Linked DNA regions of Sus scrofa. The protein of the gene in region 2 purifies or fractionates together with the protein of the main gene of each other region. This does not show direct contact. Links are inferred from orthologs where the notes say so. Each region holds a gene or a part of one and is shown on either strand. Other genes may lie near its edges. The genes, in order: LIG3 and APLF.

Region 1 (4,354 bases), on a different chromosome or scaffold from region 2:
TCCATTTTTTTTCCCACACTGCCTACATGGAGAATTCTTTCATTCAACATTCAAGGCTTTTACAGACCTTATCCCTGGGCTTAAAACCTGGGCTTTAGGGAAGTTAGACTGAGTTGTAAAGCACTTAGAACTCTATCTAGCTTATACTGTAAGAAAGTCTTAGCTATTATTACTACTGCTCATTCTTTATTCCTTTTTTCTTTTTTTTGTATTTTTAGGGCCGCACCCTCAGCATATGTTAGTTCTCAGGCTAGGGGTCGAATTGGAGCTGCAGCTGCTGGCCTACACCACAGCCACACGTTTGTGACCTACACCACAATTTGTGGCAACACTGGATCCTTAATCTATTGATTGAGGCCAGGGATCAGATTCGCATCCTCATAGATACTAGTCGGGTTCTTAACCAGCTAAACAATGACAAGAACTCCTGCTCACGTTTATTCTAATGCGCTGTATGCATGCCTATCCCTGGAACACTGCTCATTTCTTTTTCTTATTTGAATACCTCTATCTCCAAAGGGAGGAGTGATTTCAATTTCATGATCGATGATCAGCATAAGCGATTTCAATTATCAATGATCAGCACAAGTGTTACCAGAGAAACAACTTAATGCCACCTTCCTACAATTTATAAAACCTGTTAATTCTGAATGCTAATTTACCAAAATATGTAATCATAAAATTTAAGACTAGATGGGATACAAATAAAAGGTGGCATTTCTTTTATGCAATAGATAGTAAACTTATGAAATTGTCACTTGAAGAAAAAAACAAAGCCTAGAAATATATAAATGGGTTCTGAATGTAGAGCAATGTCATGCCAACTCTGGCCTTATTAGAATAACCTGGGAGGCCTTCAATTTGATACATATGTCTCAGCCCTGCTCCAGATTTACTCAATCTCTCCAAATGTAGGGCTTGGGCACATGAATTTTTTAAAAAGCTTCATAGGTGATTCACCGTGCACTTTTTTGAGGGGGCTAGGCCTGCGGCATGTGGAAGTCCCAGAACCAGGGATCAAAGCCACGCCACAGCAGTAACCTGAGCTGATGCAGTGACATCTGCCCTATTCTTAACCCACTGCATCACAAGGGAACTCCCTCACGTGCACTTTAAAAAAAAGTTTTGTATGAGATCTACACATGTACCTACATCTGAAAAGCACTGGTTCAATAAAGAGAAACTCTGGGTTAAGGAGGTTAGTCATATTTGGCATGTATCTTTCACCATGTTCTCCTGGAATATGGTTTCGAAATGGAATATGTGGAGAACTGATTAGCCTTGAATAACATGTATTATGAATAGTGTTCTTAAACAGTCCCCCCAACCCTCTTGAGTTAGATTTAGGGAGTCAGAAAAGAAAAAGCCATATCCACCTCAGATGCCACACCTGGTTTTCATCTAAAAGCTTGTCCATTGGTCTGACTTCTATTAATTTACAAACTTCAAAGCAGAATTAAGTAAATATATATTTAACTATGTACAGTATCTACAGCTTACAGCTTTTACAACTCAAACTTTAGATCTGTGTGTGAAAAAGTGGGCGTTTTAGTATATAATACTTTAAAAACTTCAAAAACACTTTTACCTCAAAAATATTTTACACCAGTTTTCCAAAGCGGTATCTTCACAGGCTCCTTGTATCTCAACAACCCAGTTAGGTCACCAAATCTCTAGGCATGGAGTAAACGTTACATTGAGAGACGGCACTTTTTATACAATCGTAGAGGGTGTAGAAATCTTGCGTCTGTGAAATCCTATAACAAAGCCCCTTTCACCCGCCAATCCTGAGACAATAAATCCTGTAGCTCTCCCTCATCATCGCTGTCAACATTCTCCTCTTCCTTTTTCTGCAATTCTTTAATGGTCAGCACCTCTTTAAGCTTATTTTTTATTTCATCCTGGCGATTCCGCAGCTTTTCCACCCGACGGTAGCACTCTATCTGCTCATCGATCTCTCCAATCTGCCGGTCCAACCGTCCCTCCTCATCCTCTTCAGCAACTATGGCTTCGGAAATAGTGTTCACCTGTCTCATGGCTTTTTGAAATTCGTCCCACTCTTTGTCCATCTGATCCTTTGGGGCGTCAACCTTTCGTACCCTCGCATCTATCTCAGGGTCGTCAAAAAACCCTTCCGGTAATGCTTCGGCAGTGTTTTCTCTCCTTTCCACTACTTTTTCATGTATCTCTGCTTTCTCAATTGACCCCGAATGAGGAATTAAAGGGGCCTTGGGAGGATTTGTATCTGAAAAGCCGCTTGGCAGCCGACTACCACTTGCCTCCCGCGAGGAGGGAAGTGAGTGTTCCTTGCTCGGTACGTTGGACGGCTGCTTACTGGCATCCCCTTTCTTCCCTTCTCCTCCTCCTCCCTGCCCCTCTTCCTCCTCCTCCTCTTCCTCATCTTCATAATCAGGGAGTAAACCGAGTCCCGAAGACTTACTGAGGGTCGTTCTAGTGGATTCCTTTCCGGTTTTGTCAAAGTTGGTGGGCAAGGCGGAAGTGGAGGGCTGTACCTGAGGCACCGGAGAGGCCTTCACTCTTTTGGCATCTTGGCTCTCTGCATCTGGTGCCTTCCTCTTGGCGGACGGACCCTGGGTGGCCTCCTTCGCGCCTTTCAGCTCGGCCACTTTCTCTCGGTGCTGCTTTCCGAGGACGTGAGTCTGCCACAGGAGCTCGCTCTTAACCGGGGTGTTACACAGGGCACAACTCAGCTGCCCCAAACGGTTGTACTTCGCGAATGGAGATTCTATCCGTTTTCGGTTGGTGCTCAGACGCTGCTTCTCTTTCATCAACCTCCGCAATTCGTCCTGATTCACCACTCGCTTCCCGGCCGAAGGCCGAGCAGACGCGGAGGACGCCATCTTCGCGGCCGGACCCGAGGCGATTCTGGCTTCCGTCCCGGCGATGCCTGATAACGTCACTTCCTGTTGGATCGCGGGTTGGCTGAGGCTCCGGAGCGTGGGCCGTGGCGCACGGGTTTCCCTCAGACTCGAGGCAGAGGCAGCTTTTGTTGGCGTGTACGCTGCTGCAGGTGGCCATGGCCGCGATAAAGGCCGTAAACGCCAAAGCTGAGGTGGCGCGGGCACAGGCAGCTTTAGCTGTCAATATATGCGCCGCCCGAGGGCTGCAGGATGTGCTGCGGACCAACTTAGGCCCTAAGGGCACCATGAAAATGTGAGGCGGCGGTTGGAGCGGCGGTTAGGGCGTTGGGGATTTGTTGGGTGTCGCGACGCGCTCTGCGTTGGACGTTCCGCGAAGAGATTGGAGCGATGTGCACGCGCTTGTGGGCCTGTTTTCCCTCGTTCGGCATTTCTGCCTTGAGCTGTCTAGCCTGGCGGAGAAGAACTTTTCCCCGAGGAAAGGGCCCTCTAGTGAAGCTGTCATACCTACCCCCTTCCTGCCCCCCAACTTGTTGTTGAGGTTCATATGCAACTAGAAAGTTAGTTCATTTAGTGTCTCATATGAAACATAGGCCCTCTAACTCCCCTGTTCTTTATTATGCCCTTAGTTTGGATTTTGTTTGGCATTGTGTTGTAGTGGAGACGGCATGGGCTTTAGAGCCTGGCAGGCTTGGGTTCGGATCCAAGTTCCCCTTCTAGCTATGCAAGATCAAGTTCTGTCAATTTTGGCTGTGAGTCCTTGAGCAAGTTGTACGCTCTGTACCAGCGCTTCATCATAGCCATCCTTTGAGCCTGTGTTTACCTAGGACCGGTATTTAGAAGAGAGAGAAAGTGACTGGTGAGGGAAAAAAGGTGTAAGAGGAGAGAGGTACAGTTTCAGAGGAATGAGCAAAATAAAATTAGCGGTGAAAGAGGGCATTTATTCTAACTGGGATGCTGGGAATGAGATGTTTAAGACACGGTTTCTGATCTTAAGGAGTTCTAGTAGAGATGAATGTGCTAAATATATATATGGGAAGGGACTGATTACTGATGGCAGAAGGGAAAAGGAAAAGCTTCTCAAATAACAGGATTTTTCATCAGAGTCCTGCAAGATGAGTTAAGAGTTCACAGGTTGGGGAAGGGAGTAAAGGCCTTCTAGATAGAATAACTTCAGGAACAAGAAAGCCCAGTGGTGTAGATCCAACAGAAACAAAACTGAACATGTTATGTTAAGGGAACCACAAGATTTTCCCACAAGATCTCATTTGGTAGAAGAGGTAGTGAAAAATAGACATTATCCAGACTGGGAAAGGTAAACTATATCATTGCTAAATAGTTTGGATTTTACCTTGAAGGTGATGGAGAACATGAAAATTATGGTAGGGGTGTTTGTTTTGTTTTGTTTTGGCCTCACCCAGTGGCATGTGGAACTTCCCAGGCCAGAGATTGAACCCATACCACCCCAGTGACCC
Region 2 (4,453 bases):
AGATTCATCCTGCTGTAAAACCTTTTAATTGGTGATCATGAAGCAGAATTACAACTTCATAAACAAAGACCTTGGTTTCACTGATGATTCACACTAAGGCAAAGGGCATGAGAAAATGAAACTTCACTATGCTCTGTTACCTACAAGTATTCTTTTTTTTTTTTTTTTTTTTTTTTTTTTTTGCTTTCTAGGGCTGCACTTGCAGCATATGGAAGTTCCCAGGCTAGGGGTCAAATCTGAGCTACAGCTGCCATCCTACGCCACAGCTGCAGCAACGCCAGATTTAAGCCACGTCTCCGACCTAAACCACAGCTCATGGCAACACCAGATCCTTAACCCACTGAGCGAGGCCAGGGATCAAACCTGCATCCTAGTCAGGTTCATTAACCGCTGAGCCATGATGGGAATACCCTCGTATTCTTTATATGAGTTTTTCTGACACTTTAAAAACATGAAGACATTCTCACAGTCAAATTGTTTTACACATTGGAATTAGAAACCTTTATGCTTGTGTGGCCAGGAAGGTTTGTGAAACTTGCCTCCAAAAGACATGGCTAGCTAATTTAAGAGAATTCAAAATCATCCTTATTATTATTAACCATTCATATGGATATGAATTAACAATGACCTTCCTGAGTTTTTTTACTTAGAAATAAGCCTTTGCTCTCTTACACTACAAACAAACAAACTCAATGAAATTGCCATCTGAAACAACAACCCTCATGTGGAATTTAAACCACTGTAGAGAAGAAACACCTGACTGTCAGCACTAAAATCTTAAAAACCACAAGGTGATTTGTTTTTCAAAGTTTTCCTTCAAAGCATCTAGTATCATTTATAACCACTTCTAACACCCCCCAAACTTGGCAACGGAATCTCATCACTAAATAACCATTCAAAAAGAAAATGCAAAGTCCTGACCAAAAAATTGACTTTCTACTCCTTAGCACTTTTAAAAGCAGAAACCAAATAGGCTTATCTCACATTACCAAGCCTATTACACAACGATCAAGCTACAAATAATGAAGGGGTCCGTGACCTGTTGCCAGCTTTATAAAATAAGAGGTTTAAAATTCATATCATTTAAGCTGATCCACAGCACTCTTGCAAACAATACAATTTGTTAAGGAAATCAAACCTCATTAGTCACTAGACATAAGATACCAGGTGAAACTGGGTATCTTACTCTGTTAAATTTCTAATTGAGAGAGAGAGAAAGAAAAATAGGGGTAGAGATAGAGAAGAAAGGAGGCAGGGAGGGAGGAAACTTAACTATGCAGTTCCTTCAAAGATTTGTACAGGTTAATAACCTATGGAGAAAAGTAACAATATTATTTAAACATTTAAATACCTGTCCAGAAAAAAAAGCAAATGAACTTGAACTTTCTTAATAACCTTACTACATATACACACACACTCATACATTCACACCCCTTTAGAACTGACTTTCCCATCACCACCTTGAACCACCACTCCCTTTCCTGCTCGGAGAAGGGTCCTAAGGCCAATACCAATGGTTCCATTTAGACACTGGAGGTTAACTGGGGTTAACAGTCCATATTCCTCACTCCCTGGTATTAGCTCACTGACACAGGTCGGTCTGGACAGTTCAAAAGAAAACTAGAGGCAAGGATGCCTGGCTCATTCATCTCTGTGCACCGCAGGGCGCTAGGATCTGCACAGTGTGCGGCACAAAGTGGGCACTAAACCAGACATGCTGAATGTTAAGAAAAAATATATACGTATTGAGGGAGAGATTTACAAAATTCCGCAATGTAACTGGCAAGTTTTCAAACTCTTAAACATCCCAGAGGAAGAATGCATAGCCTATCGGCACTCGGTGTCCAAAAGCTTAAGTGTGCCCTTTAAATAACCAATCTATAGCTCAACTTTCTTATTTGAACAATGAAGATAATAAGAGTACCTAACTCAAAGGGTTTAGAAAAGATTAAAGTTGATACAAGTGAAGTTCTTAGATCAATGCCTGGAACACTACATACACAGAACGGTGGGCCATCGATATTACTGAAAAAGACTATACAATAAAAGTTTGGCAAATGGGCCAAAAGTTTAAAAGAAATTATTCTAGAACAGCTAAGATCAGAGGTTGGCAAACTTTTCCCGTAAAGGGTCAGATACTACTGCAAATACTGTGGCCTACCAAGCCAAGAGGCAATATTCTCAACTCTTAGAGCAATTATTCTCCACGAAAGACTAATTCAGGTTGTTTACACTTTACATTTGAAAATTTGAGAACCATTCTCAGTATATGCCCTCATACAAAAAAACAGGCTGGATTTGGAGCCAGGGCCAGTTTGCAGACCCCCGCGTAAAAGGACAACGATGATACCCCAAGTCAGTGTTTTTAAAGGCAACAGAAGGAAAAGTCTGAAAGTTGCTTCGAGTTGACTGAAAAAGTGCTGCCCCCAAACTTCTAAAATCCAGACAGGCCTGGCCGGCGTGCTAGCAAATCGGGGAAGGTCCGGGAGAGGGGCCTCGGGAGCCGGCCAGGACCTCGCGGCCGTCCCGACCAGCAAAGCCCCCGCCACACTTACTCCCAACAGCGGCCCGCGGCCTATCACCGTCTCCCCGGGCGCCAGGGCCACCCGGGGACCGCCGTCCTGCGGCTGCAGCTCGAAGCCTCCGGACATGGCGGCGAGGATTAGACCCCTTTGGAAGGAGAGGGTCCCCCCAGCCGTTTCCGCCTTCCATGAACACGCGCGGGGCCTACGCAGGTCCCGCGAAAACACAGGGGGAGGGGGAGTGAAAACTGCGCCCGGGTGTGTCCAGGCCGCGCGGAGCGGGGGCCCCGGCGCGGGGTACCGAGTCCCGGCCCTCCTTCCAGCCAGTGACGCACTCGGGGATTCCCCCTTCACACAGCCTCCAAACTATTGTTTAAAACCCCCGGTCAACCCCCCCAACCCCATCCTTCTCACCGCCCACCCCGCTCGAAGGACACCGGACCTTGTAGTCCGTGACGCCTCCCTTCTCCTCGCTTGCCGAGCAGAGAGGCCCCGAGAAAACTACCAATACCAAGAGTCAATGCGCTCGCCTTTCTGAGCCTGTGCGAAATCCGAGTCAGCAAGGCGGGGCTAGAGTGGGCGGGACCTGAGAGACCTTGGAGAAGGATTCGAATTCTGGAGGATTTAAATCGCTGAAGGAGAGTTCGCTGCGACCCTGTAGGTAGGAGGGTCTTTCCTTCCGGCTGACGTCGGGTGGGCGTGCAAGGGGGCGAGGACCCGGTGTTCGAAGAGTCTGCGCTCGTCCCGCCTGAGCGGCAGTGACAGTTCGTGCTGACGGTTGTTATTGTTGTTTACTTGTCATTGCCCCTTGATCTGTGGACTATGGCATCAGCAATCTGCACGGGGCACGCCAGTAGGGTGGCTCAGATGGGACGTGGGGTCATTCCTTCCGACCTGCGGCGTCCGCCTCGGGTGAGGGCTGCTGAGAGCCGGGTGTCTGCGCGGCCTTCCGATCTCTCCGTCCGTGTGACACCTGAAAGAGGGTGAGCTCTCACCTAACTAGAAAGGTAATTCAGCACGATTTGGTTCATAAAGGGGCAGAAGAAGATAGTTTTCTAGGTATTCAGCCAAAGCTGGACTTGGAGGAAGGAAAATACCTAGTGGGATTTTAGGAATCTCAGCAAGGCACCCCTGTCTGTTAAATTCAAAAACGTTCATCTGCCTCCTCTGGAATAACTGTAACGGGAGAACGCATTTTATCCCCAGTGAGCTCCCGGGAGAAGTAGCAAATGTGCGTGTTAGTGCACAGGAACTGTCTCCTAATATGAGATTCTTTTCAAGAATAGGGTAGTTTGGTTTCAGTTTGTATTGCTGCGGAGCAGGAGGGTGGTGTGGCAAAAACTTAACTCATGAACTTGTTTTTACCAGCTTGCTTTCTTACTTCCCCAAACTCTGAAGAGGAAGTCCTCTCTTGAACTCGAACACTGAAATTCTAACCATTGTAACTAATTGGGATGATGAACAGCCAAATGAATGGGAGCATCTGTGGGCCTGGCAAGTCCAGAAACAAATAGGTGAGTCGCACATCTAGAAAGGGGAATTTGTCCTTAGTTCAGCTAGAAGTATTTAGCTGTATCTGAAACCACTCCTGGCTACCACCCCTCATTAATAGGAGGAAGTGCAAAGTGGAATAAACTGATTTTAAATAAATATGAACTGTCTTTATATGCAAAAATAGCTCCATGCTTTCAACTGATTTCAGAAGCCGTCACCATGCACCTTAAACTAGCTGAAACTGGACTTTACATCTTTAGTCATCTGCTATTGTTTATAGTTGCTTAATAAATGTAACATTGTTTATAATTGTTAGTCATTGTTGCTTGATGGCCTCAGTGACTATTGTCTTAGTTCATAATTAACTATGCATGTAGGGTAGCTTGGGGAAGCCATTTCTAAAGCACTGCTCTTATAACTAATTGAGTATTTGGGAT

Evidence for each region.
Region 1: the proteins of APLF (region 2) and LIG3 purify together in Homo sapiens (affinity purification with mass spectrometry; 3 studies listed by BioGRID and IntAct, counting the BioPlex papers as one, with this or other methods). This does not show direct contact. The link is inferred for Sus scrofa from reciprocal best matches to the Homo sapiens genes APLF and LIG3.

The regions. Positions count from the first base shown.
Region 1 is NC_010454.4:40,202,185-40,206,538, forward strand, and holds the start of LIG3 (DNA ligase 3), read right to left. Parts: upstream 2,894-4,354; 5' UTR 1,589-2,893; intron 1-1,588. Other genes in the region: CCT6B (T-complex protein 1 subunit zeta-2), read left to right, coding at 3,038-3,174. UniProt on the Homo sapiens protein: Isoform 3 functions as a heterodimer with DNA-repair protein XRCC1 in the nucleus and can correct defective DNA strand-break repair and sister chromatid exchange following treatment with ionizing radiation and alkylating agents.
Region 2 is NC_010445.4:73,828,226-73,832,678, forward strand, and holds the start of APLF (aprataxin and PNK-like factor), read right to left. Parts: upstream 2,921-4,453; 5' UTR 2,652-2,920; coding exon 2,556-2,651; intron 1-2,555. UniProt on the Homo sapiens protein: Histone chaperone involved in single-strand and double-strand DNA break repair.